Linked DNA regions of Danio rerio. The protein of the gene in region 3 purifies or fractionates together with the protein of the main gene of each other region. This does not show direct contact. Links are inferred from orthologs where the notes say so. Each region holds a gene or a part of one and is shown on either strand. Other genes may lie near its edges.

What was found.
Region 1: the proteins of actr2b (region 3) and churc1 purify together in Homo sapiens (affinity purification with mass spectrometry; 4 studies listed by BioGRID and IntAct, with this or other methods). This does not show direct contact. The link is inferred for Danio rerio from reciprocal best matches to the Homo sapiens genes ACTR2 and CHURC1.
Region 2: the proteins of actr2b (region 3) and arpc1a purify together in Homo sapiens (affinity purification with mass spectrometry; 9 studies listed by BioGRID and IntAct, counting the BioPlex papers as one, with this or other methods). This does not show direct contact. The link is inferred for Danio rerio from reciprocal best matches to the Homo sapiens genes ACTR2 and ARPC1A.

The regions. Positions count from the first base shown.
Region 1 is NC_133195.1:28,615,762-28,619,927, forward strand, and holds the start of churc1 (protein Churchill), read right to left. Parts: upstream 2,931-4,166; 5' UTR 2,873-2,930; coding exon 2,834-2,872; intron 2,319-2,833; exon of another isoform or gene 2,264-2,318; intron 2,107-2,263; exon of another isoform or gene 2,030-2,106; intron 1,957-2,029; exon of another isoform or gene 1,902-1,956; intron 1,176-1,901; exon of another isoform or gene 1,094-1,175; intron 1-1,093. UniProt on the Homo sapiens protein: Transcriptional activator that mediates FGF signaling during neural development. Plays a role in the regulation of cell movement.
Region 2 is NC_133178.1:39,749,317-39,753,642, reverse strand, and holds the start of arpc1a (actin-related protein 2/3 complex subunit 1A), read right to left. Parts: upstream 2,804-4,326; 5' UTR 2,633-2,803; intron 1-2,632. UniProt on the Homo sapiens protein: Probably functions as a component of the Arp2/3 complex which is involved in regulation of actin polymerization and together with an activating nucleation-promoting factor (NPF) mediates the formation of branched actin networks.
Region 3 is NC_133188.1:6,002,740-6,006,393, forward strand, and holds part of actr2b (actin-related protein 2-B), read right to left. Parts: intron 2,579-3,654; coding exon 2,468-2,578; intron 1,018-2,467; coding exon of another isoform or gene 1,003-1,017; intron 1-1,002. UniProt on the Homo sapiens protein: ATP-binding component of the Arp2/3 complex, a multiprotein complex that mediates actin polymerization upon stimulation by nucleation-promoting factor (NPF).

The DNA.
Region 1 (4,166 bases), on a different chromosome or scaffold from region 3:
GGGGTTTTCACCTTTAAATGGACTGGACAGTAGAGATTATTGACAATAAATCATGAAGAGCAGAGAGAGATGAAGGATTCGCATAGCACTGCAAGGCGGGAATCGAACTCGGGTCACCAAGAGCACGAGAGTGCATGTGTCTACGCACTAACCACGCACTGGCACAGACAGAAAAACATTTTCTATATATAACAAAACACTTCTGGCTGTTTGCAGTATTTTCTTAGTAATAAAGTGACAAAAGATACCCACTCTAGGTCTTCTTGAAGCTTATGCATTATAAAAAAGCCCTTAAACTGAAGATCTTTTTTAAAGAGTGCCCCCCCTCTGTTTTATTTTTTTAATTGAATTTATTCATTCATTTTCTTTTCAGCTTAGACCCTTTATTAATCTGGGGTCGCCACTTTAGAATGAACTGCTAGAATTATTTATATATTTTGTATTATTATTATTACATTTTTCTCTCTGTTTTCTTGCTGATATTTTGACTTTTTTGTAATTGTACAATGATTTATCCTCTTACTGTTACATGGTATTTTGTATGCTTTTCAAGCATAATAATAAAAACAGATACCCACTCTGAGTAAAAAAAAAAAAAAAAAAAAAAAATATATATATATATATATATATATATATATATATATATATATATATATGTGTGTGTGTTAATTTTTGCGCAAGAAATGCATGCAAATTACTGCATGTTTAATTAAATTATAACTTATTTGCATATCTACAAGTGACGTTTTTTGAAACTTGTAAAATGTAATAATAATAATAATAATAATAATCATATCTAGATTTCTCAAAGTAAACACCCAAGGAAGCAAGGCAATTGTTTTTTAAATTATACTTACCTTCAGTTTCTTCCATTAAATGTAGCTGCTTTAAAGGACAGCGAATAAACAACCTCCCAACAAACACACAACGTTGCCTCAACGTAGCGACCTTCCTACAACGTTGTACCAACATTGCAAAAAGGTTGAGGATTCTACGTTGTTGCTAAAGGTGTTCACAACGATGTCATAAGGTTGCCATTTAAACATCATGAGGGTCGCATGCTTTAGGTTGTGCTTAGGTGGCGTGGACGACCACTGTACAACATTTACTGGTCACAGCTGAATCAGTTTAAATTTCAACAAGCCGTCGTCTCATTCATCAACGACCGAGGAGACGTGAGTATTGCTTTATTTCTTCTTGCTAAATAAGATACGTAAATCGTGAATATTCAAACAAACCTACGATTTCGACAACAATCTTTTCCAACATCACATGTTAAATCTCTCGATAAAACATTTCCTGATTATTTACCTACGCCTTGTCTTTAATCAAATGGACAATAATGTTTTTGAAGTTCATTTTTTTCCATATCTATCGTGATCAGTTAGTATGATACTTCATCACACGAGCCGACCCACTATTTACAAAACACACAAAATAACTTTTAAAAACAAAACATCTCTGTGTAGATTGCGTCCCGTTAAAGGAACAGTTAATTTAAAAATGATATGTACTCACGAATTATTTGCCCTGTAAATAATAAGTGATTCCAAACCTTTAAGTTTCTTTATTCTGTTGAACACTAAAGACTGTAAGCATTTGCTTTCATAGTAGGAAAACACTATGGAATTACAGTTACAGTTTTCCAGCTTTATTTAATATATCTTCTTTATTGTTTAGCAGAAAAAAAGCTAAATAAGTTTGCAACAAATAAAGGATGAGGCTTAAATGGCAGAATTGTCAGTTTTGGGTGAGCTATCCCTACAAGTTAAAGTATATAAATTAATGTTCATATGCCTAATTAATATAGATAGTAATTAAAAGGTCTGCTAGTCTAAATTTCTATTTTAATTGGTCTTTTAATGTTTTATTTAAAACCCACTCTTTTCTTTACTCAACAGGCTATTTTTACATGGAGGTAATCTTCTATTGATAATTTCTGGATTTTAATTATGCGTAAGTTGCATAAAACTCTATTGTTTAACCACTCACTGTTGTTTTCAAATTACTTATGTAACTTGTCTTTCAGAATGTTTTCAGCTGTTGAATTCACCTCAGATCAGTGTTGCTGTAATTCCTGATCTATGGAAAGAAGAATTGGATGAGGTAAGAAGTATACTACTCTATTTACTATTAAATGTAGTTATGTTACCTAAAACAGCATGTCCATAATGTGGAAAATAGATCATGCTTATGAAAAATTACTTTATTATTTTGTACAGCTGTTATTGAAATGACACTAAGTTTAACATTCCATTTATAGCGAGCAACGCCACAACTACAGGGCCTGTTCTTTCTCTTCTCATAATTTAAGTAAGTATTCAGAGACTAACTCTGACTTCTGTTAACTCAAACCTGTTTTCCCTGTATCTCTAAATTTATTTAATTGTATGTAATTTTGGTAAAATAAATGAATAATATTTCATATTTAGCAATACTGGAAAAGAATTGTTGCTTATCCTGTATTCTAGGCAGTATTGATAAACTGCCACAAAAAAATATTAATACAAGTAGTAAGAACGCCGCCTCGCGGTTGCTGAATGTCGCACGACAACGTTGCTACAGCCTTCTCACGTCTTACATTTCTACGTTGTGACAATGTAGCGAGCACGTAAGAGACAACGTTCCCTTTAAAAAAATACAACGTTGTGCAGACATCGCTACAACGGATATGTGTTTGTTGGGCTAGCATTAAGGCATCAAACTTTTGAAATGACCATGGCGCAAACAGCACAGTGATGTTGGCTGAAAACCAGCAACCAGCACATAGAAAGAAAAATAGCAAGCGACAGATGTGCATGAGTTGTTGCAGTCACAGATGATCATAACTCACCCTGTCGGGATATTGCTTCTGGACACAACCGGTACACATTTCTGATCAGACAGATGTAAAAATATGTACAGTATAGTCCAGATCAGAAGACGCTTCCGTGTTTGCATTCTTCGGTGAGGTGAACTCTCTGTATGATTTGTGAGCAGCGCCACCCTCAGACTTTATCCACTAAGGGTTCTCTTTTTAGAAGAAAACAGGTTCTTTTGAATATTAAAATGTTTTTCGTATTAAAAAACGGTTTTATTGAATCTTAGAGATTCAAAAATGTTTCTACCGTGACCCCTCTATACAAATAAATAAATGTTAATGTATTTTCATCCAAAACCAAACTAAAATTAATTCGCTTTCTTTTTAGCTGAGTCCCTTTATTAATTAGGGGTCGACACATGCAGCGGAATGAACCACCAACTTATCCAGCATATGTTTTACACAGCGGATGCCCTTCCAGCGGCAAACCAATCACTGGGAAACACCCAACAATCTAAACTAAAATCTAGAATACAAATTACTAAAGACTAAATGCATGTTTTACTACCGCAAAAATAAATATAAATAGCAAAAACATAATTACTAAAACTTCAAGTACATGCTTAATGAAAACAGATAAGATAATAGAATAAAAACAAGTTACAAAATCGGTAGAGCTACGCATCGATGAATTTGCTCTTAAGTGTTTGGACTCTCTGTAGTGATTTTAAACCACACTGAACTGAGCTAAACTGAACTGAACTTAAACACTTAAACTGAACTACCCTGTTCCAGTTACTATGACCATTTATGCGAAGCTGCTTTGACACAATCTGCATTGTAAAAGCGCCATACAAATAAAGCTAAATTGAATTGGGGAAAAAATACTCACCAATATTGTTAATAACATACAGTCAGATACTAATAACCTAGCGTGCCACATTGGGGATGAGTGATACTGTTTTTCTTTTTTCTTTTCAATATGGTTCCAATACTTTTTTATACAACAACAAACAATACCCATTTTAACAATACCAACACTGATACCTATACTGTGGTATTAAAATAAATAATGTTAATATTTAGAAAGAAAAAAAATCATTACATCTAAATACACATATCACATTATAAGTATTGCCTATGTATAGCAAAAGCAATCTTGAGAACAAATAAATGATAATAATAAAGAAAATGTTCAATATTATTTTACATAAACAAGATTTCTGCTTTTTGTTATTTAATACTAGTAACACTTTTTATTATATTATAAAAAGATAAAAGTTAATTAAAATATCAACAATAGATAAATAAATAAATAAACTTTTCTAAAGATTGCCTTGCTATAAACGCGCTTTTTTCTCACATG
Region 2 (4,326 bases), on a different chromosome or scaffold from region 3:
TAAATAATAATGATAATATAACGGTAGCCTAATCACCTAAGACACCCCCATTCGAATAATTAGACTTTACCTGCTACAACACAGGTGTCAAAGCCAGTTCCTGGAGGGCCGCAGCTCTGCACAGTTTAGTTTCAACCCTAATTAAACACACCTGATCAAACTAATTGAGTCCTTCAGGCTCGTTTGAAACCTCCAAATAGGTGTGTTGAAGCAGGGTTGGAACTAAACTCTGCAGGGCTCCGGCCCTCCAGGAATTGACTTTGACACCACTGTGCTACACGGTTTGTTTTTTTGATCGGTCAACAAGCTTAACATGCCAAAATGCCAAACTGCCTGGTGCACAGGGGAGGCAAAAAAGAAAAAGAAGAGGAAGAAAAACTTGACAACGACAGAATAATGTTACGATAAAGATGATTATTTTGCTGTATCCAAGCGATGATTGATACACCATTACCAATTAGCATGACACATACCTGTCAACCCTCCCGTTTTTGCCCACTATCACTTTAATTTTTTCCATATTTCCCCCGTTTAATCTTTATATGAAAAGTGAAAGTAGCATCAATACAGAGCCGATCTCAAATGTGAAAGAATTGCAAGAGCTGGTGAAGATAATTAGCCATGCTTTCGCTTTATTTTGGCTTGAAAGCATGATAAAATTAATATAAAGATTCTGCATTCACTTCTTTTCATTAAAGCTGGTATCGATTGTCGCAACCACATTCAGTGCATCTGTATGCATGCTAACTTATTGACGCACTCCGTATGATAAACTGTTCCCAGATCAGCTTCTCTACACGCCATTTGTAAAGGAGCGAAAGTTTAGGATACTTTGGTGATTCGGGTGTGCGTTTAAACAGACAAATACCCTTAATAATGTGTAAACATGTTCGTTCGGCGTGTTTTATTTTAAACACAAATAATTTTTCTCTTAAATGAGCACAAACAGTTACTAAAGAAGACAAATGCTTTCATTATAGATCAGTGCATTCTTAAAGTAACACCTCTGTTATCAAACAAAACACAATGAGAGATTCATTTGCAGCTCTTCACTAAATAACTAGTAACTTTAATCAATATGCAAATACAATCAAAAGTGAAGGAGATTTTATAGCTTTATTTAATTTCAGTATAGGCCATTGATTTTAATAGGCTAAACCTTTTACTTTATTGTCAATATTTTCTAATATTTACTATGTATTTATTTGAAGCTATTTGTTGACAGGTATGGCATAACATGGTTGCTAATCAATAAATAGCTATAGTGCTATCTGTTAGTTTTAACATCAGCTAATGTTATGGAAGGGCATAGATGTTATGGAAAATAGTAATAGTAATGTAACTACCCCCATCATTCCTTCCTCAAGCAAATGTGTAAATATTAGATATTCAGCAATATTGTTGATTGCTTGGCATATTTATCTGACGTTTTCCCAGCTTGTAGTAGTCGATCAAAAAGCTATTTAGTTTCTTATGACTATATGTACACACTAGCAGTGGAATTTTACTGCGATGTGACAGGGCGCCACCTGAAATCTTGCCTAGGCCGCCAAATTGGTTAGAGCCGGGCCTGACTTTATGCATCTCATGATGTCATAGTTTTTTATTTGTAAGTTACTTAACTTCTACTCTTTATTTATTTTAACATTATTCTTTTTTATTATTTATACATTTTTTACAGCAATCTTATATTTAACTTCTGTTATTACAGAACAAGTCTACCTGGGTGGGGATTCGGTTTTGTTTTACGATATAGTCATATGCTGTGTCCTTTCTATATTAAACAAAAACTGAAATAATAAAACAACTGTTCACACAAATAATAATACCATGACTATTAATGTTTCTAAACAAGCAAATGCAAAACCTGGAATGGGATTGGAGTGGGTCGAATATGAACAATAGGCGGGAAAGATATACTGACACAAGCTGATCCAGTCCTGTTTTTAACGCGATCCTACTTTAGTGACACGCCAAGATTTATGTTTTTGCTTTTTTATTTAGCAGAAAAGAAATGATTAAATATTAGAACTTCACATTTTGATTAAACTTATGTCTCTCAACTTTAATTCCCTCCTAATTACTTCTTTTTCCGAGTATGCGCTCTGGAATTTCTTGTAAATAGCTTTAAATTTGCTCTAAACTACCCAAACCAGCACTGATAAACTGACAGCCCGGGGCTAAATCACGTCCGTCAGTCCATGTCCTCAACTACACCTACACAGTTTTTCGTTTGAATTCACACACTAAAGCCAAAAAGAGTCCTCTTCAACCAGCAAAACAGGATGACGGCTGTCAGTTCCCGATTTTCAGGGCGTGGATGAAGCAGAAGATCAATATCTGATGCCGTGGGCTTCTGTTCGCGAGCTGTCTGCCTGCTACATTAGCCGAAAGCTAACGCGAAAAACACATCAATTCCAGTACAATCACACAGAAAGCAGAAAAAACGACCCCGGATATAAAGCTAAAAGTCTGTATAACCTTATATAATCGCAAACGCTATTTTAGCGCGACTGAAGTTACACAAATGTTCGTGCTCTGTTAAATTTGAGGATCAGGAAGGCCTTTCTCAAGATGCCGGTTGAGTCCGCTCCCTGCTGACGGAAAAAGGCATGACACGGGCCTCCTTTACCTGAACAGATGCTCCGCTTTCTCGGTCAAATCTTCGTAAAGATGTTCGCTAGTTGTTGAACGCTGGACGGACTTGAATTCGCGGACTCTGGACAGTCGACACGAATTCACTCCGACTGCTCTCTTGCTCCCTGATTTCGGCCTGTCAAGGAATCCAGGAAATGGCACACGGCTTAGCGCGCATGCGTACGCACGGCAGAGCAGTGGGCGTGCCCGTGTTGAAGTCATTCAGGAGACAATGGTGAGAGATGGGAGTGTGTGTGTGAGCAGGACAGGCTCCACAGGTCACACAGGAGAGTGCAGATTTTGATCGCGATGAAAAATAATTTTATAACTTTTCTTTCTGGACAGTTCTAAAGATAAAAAGTTGTTGTAAATTTACACTCTCTGGCAAATCAAGGTAACTTTTTGGTGATTTATTAAAAAGATAGTTTACCCAAACATGACAATATCCTCATTATTTTTGTGGTTTTTATTTTTTTCTTCTGTTGAACGAAATTAATGAAGAATGTGGGCGGAAAGCAGCCATTGGCATCCATAGTAGTCGTCATTGGGTACACTTAGTACACACCCTGAAATAAAGAAATAACTCACTCAGTAATAAAGGTACAGGAGCTGTCACTGGGGTAGTACCCTTTCAAAAGATACATATTTGTACCCAAAAAGTCCACAGTGGTACCTCAAATGTGCATATTTGTGCCCAAATGTACCTAAAAATTACCTTTGAAGTATCATAATTGACCCTTCAGGTACAGATATACCCTTTGAAAAGGTACTGCCCCACTGACAGTTCCTGTACCTTTATTTCTGAGAGTGCAGAGTACAATAAAATATTTTTTTTTTACAATCCTATTTGCTGAAATAAAAGAAACAATCAACAATTGTGTTCTCAAGATTGTCAGAATGTGGAAGAAATACTGTGAGACTAAAAAGGCAGCCAGAAGAGAGATTAACATCAAATTTACTCTGTCCATAGACGCTGCACTGTAAACGATTTCTTGTTAAATTAACAGTAAGTTACTGGCAACAATTATCCAGTAGCTGCTGTATTTCATAAAACAGTAACATTACTGTTATACTAATTACATTAGTATTACATTTACTGTAAAATGTAATACATCATTTTACTGTTGTTGATTTTTACTGTAACACTAATTACAGTAGTGGTGCACATACTGCAAAACTGAAAACAGTATTTTATTGTACATTTTTACCATGAAGAACTACGGTATCTTAACGTTACTTTCATTATTACTGTATAGTATTTTACAGTTATTAAATGTTATTTTATTATATTTAACAGTGCTACTTTATAATGGGTAAAAAATTTTCAAAAATTGCACAAGTGTTGTTCTAACTGTTCAAGACGTACAAGAAAAATAAAGAAACTAAAACTTTAACTTCACAATAAAGGTTTATTGTGTAAACCATGCTAAAACAGTAGCAGTAATTCAATATAACAGAGCAACAGAACACTAATAAACAATTGATCATTAAAACCAGTCAACAATTAATGCATCAAAAATTATTACAATTTTAAAAACAGGTGAAAATACTGCTACAAGACAGGAAATGATGAAGGCCAAATGATGTGGAAAGGGACAGTGAAAAAGGGCAGCAGCATGATGATGATCCTGCAAAAATGACAAGCAAAATCAATCACTGAAGTAAAAACTAATCATCCCTCAAACCATT
Region 3 (3,654 bases):
ATATATATATATATATATATATATATATATATATATATATATATATATATATATGAGTATCAGGGTGTATACAGGAATCAGAATGAAATTCGAAACATTTTAAGACCTTTTTAAAGACTCTGCCCATACATTAAGACCTCATCGCCAACATTTTAACTTGCAGTATATTTATATATATATATACTCTCTATTTCAGAGGTCACTTTCTCTATTTTCTATTTCAGAGGTCACCACAGAGGAATGAGCTGCCAACTATTCTAACATATGTTTTATGCAGCGCGTGCCCTTCCAGTCGCAACCCAGTACTGGGAAACACCTATAAACACTTTATAAATTATTTATAGTCATTATAAAATTACTATCATATGGTTGTATCAATGCAAATGATAAATAATAAAAAAAAATAATAATAAAAAAAAATAATAATAATAATAAACTGCTTGGTTAAACTAAAATTATAAATGTATTGATATAAAATAGTGCTTCTCCAAATGAAATAATTCTCAAATAACCTAAATCAAATAAAAAAGTGAAGGTGAATTCTCTTTTTATAAAATAAAAATACATTTCAAATTAGCAATTGGTAACATGATGGTACAACTATTTCAGTCATTTGAAAAAAACAATTAAATAAAAGCAATTAATTAAACATTTGCTCCATGGAGGAAGAGAATTCTGCTACATGTGAGTCACAATTACATTTAGATAAGCTACTTTAGAAGCATGTTGAAGTTTCTGATTTGTTTGTTTTCTTTTGTTCATTCCACTGTGGTGACCCCTGATAAATAAGGGACTAAGCTGAAGGAAAATGATTGAATAAATGTTTTGCTAAATCACCCAGCCATGGTTATAAGGCATTAGAGATTTTACAAAACAAATAAAAGAACTAAAAAACCCTAAAGACAGGCAACTATATGAACACGCCTGAAATACGGCAAGGTGCAACACAATCTCCTCAGCAGGCGGTAAGTGTTAAACACAGCGCACGCAGACTGCACTTACCATCTTTTTGTTATTCTACTTCACCATGTGAAGAACCAGAAGAAAAAGAGCGTAAATATGACAAGAAATTCAAATAGGAGACGTTAAAGACTTTCTTTCAAATAACAAAGCAAATTAAATTTTAAAAGTAGTTCCTACTGTTGAAGACAAAACTATTTGCCCTCCTGAGAATGACTGAATCAATCAATTAATCAATCAATCAATCAATCAATCAATCAATCAATCAATCAATCAATCTATCTATCTATCTATCTATCTATCTATCTATCTATCTATCTATCTATCTATCTATCCACCCATCCACATCCATCCATCCATCCATCCATCCATCTTAAGTGCTGTTTAATAGAGAGAAACATTTCAACACATTTGTTAAATTAAACATAATGATTTTAATACCTCTTTTTCTAATAACTAAATAATTTTGTCTTTGCCATGATGACAGTACAAAATATTTTACTGGATATTTTGCAAGATACTAGAGTAATTTGAAGGCTTAACCAGGTTAATTAGGTTAACCAGGCAAGTTCCATTAATTAATCATTGGACAACAGTGGTTTGTTCTGCAACCAAATGGATTTTTTATGTTTTGCGTTAACTTATTAATATAATTAATTATTATTTTATCAAATGTTAAGGCAGCTGTTTTTTAGTATATAATATTTTCAAACTATGTTAAAACACTGGCTCTACACATACTGGGAAGCCATAGGTCACAAGCGGTAGGGTGATTGTTTAGTATTGGCTTGAGAAAGGCATCATCTCACTTCTCAACCAATGAAAACATTTGCGGCGGGGCTAGGACAGTCGCTGCTGCCATGATATGAACAGGATGGTACAAAAATTATGGATCAAAATGGTAAACTCTTAAATGCAAATTTTCAGTTTAAAACACTTCCAAACTGCTATAAATAAATAAATAAATAAATAAATAAATAAATAAATAAATAAATAAATAAATAATTAAAATAAAAATTTTAACTGTAAAATGTTATGGGACTGTTATGTTTTTGTACTTGTTCATACACTTACTCGGTACTTTTAAAATAAAAGTACACTTCTTTTGAAATCACTATTGATTTTTGTGCATAATGTGATTAATCACATATAACCTTGTGAATATTCACAATTTGAAAAATGTATCGTTGCCCAGCAATACTTATAATATTAACCTTATGTATACATTTTTTAAAATGTTTTTATTATTTATTTTTTTTATTCAGCCAAAGCAAATGAAATACAACTTTCTTCAGAAGAAAAATATAAAAGGAGATACTGTGAAAAATGTAAAAGATCACTTGGGAAATATTTGAAAAAGAATTCAAATTTCACAGGAGGGCTCATAAATTTGTCTTCAACAGTAAACAAAGGCATAAAAGCACAGAAATCTCTGACATTATTTAAAAAAAACAAACAAACGCCATGTTAATTATGTGACCTGGCAGAGTGTGAATGTGGAGCTCACCTTAATCTCAATGTTGCCCACTTTAGCTGTGGATCGGATGATAGGTCGGCCCACCAGTGCCGGGAAGATGTGCTCTGGGAAGTTGGACCCAGCGTAGCCACATTTCACAAACTGATGGAATAAGAGAGAGAAAGACAGAACATTTTGTGATGAATACTGTGATCATCCAGCAAAATAAAAGTACATGTATGACTACATTATTAATATTTATAATCTACACTATAATTTGAGTTGTGGTTTTTAGGTGACTTTTTGAACAACAAACAACCATATATTATACCTTTGTTTTCAAATAAAAAAATTAAATGAACAAAAATGAAATTCACCACTAGATGGCGTGTATTCACAACAAACAAAAGTGTAGTTTGATGACTGCATGACTGGGTGTAGAATCATGCGAGTTGCTGTAGAGTAAGGTTGAAAGCAGTCAAACACTGAAGCAAATGCTGATGAGAGATGAGTGTGACTCGGCAGGAAAGCAGCAGAGCTTTGCTGCTTTCCAGTCTGCAAAAACCTCTGTAGTCCTATGCATATAAAAGTACTTTAGGAGGAGCACAGTGGCTCAGTGGTTAACACTGTCACCTCACAGCAAGAATGTTGCTGGTTTGAGTCCCGGCTGGGTCAGTTGGCATTTCTGTGTGGAGTTTGCATGTTCTCCGCGTGTTGTCATGGACTTCCTCCGGGTGCTCCGGTTTACCCCACATGTGGCATGGGTGAACTGGATGATCTAAATTGGCCTTAGTGCATGAGTGTGTGTGTGTGTGTGAATGCCAAAGTGTATGGGTGTTTCCCAGTACTGGGTTAAGACTGGAAGAGCATCCACTGCATGAAACATACTGTACATTGCAGACTCAACATTGCAGATCCTGTAGCAAAAAAATATATAAAAAATAAATAATAATAATAATATTTTTTTTTTTAAATTGCAATATATTTTGTTCAGCTCTAATCCAACTGCAGAATTTAAAATAATAAATAATGACGTCATTTTAATGTGCAATATACTCTCTTAGTATTTTCTATATTTAAAAGAGCTCCAAATAATTGCATTGTTGCATTTATACATACAAAACTAGCTAAAACAACACAATTCTTGAAGTTTTTTTATTTTTTTTTTATGGGACATCTTAATTGTTTTGTTCAATCAATTTAAAGGGTCACGAAACACCAAAACACATTTTTTGAGC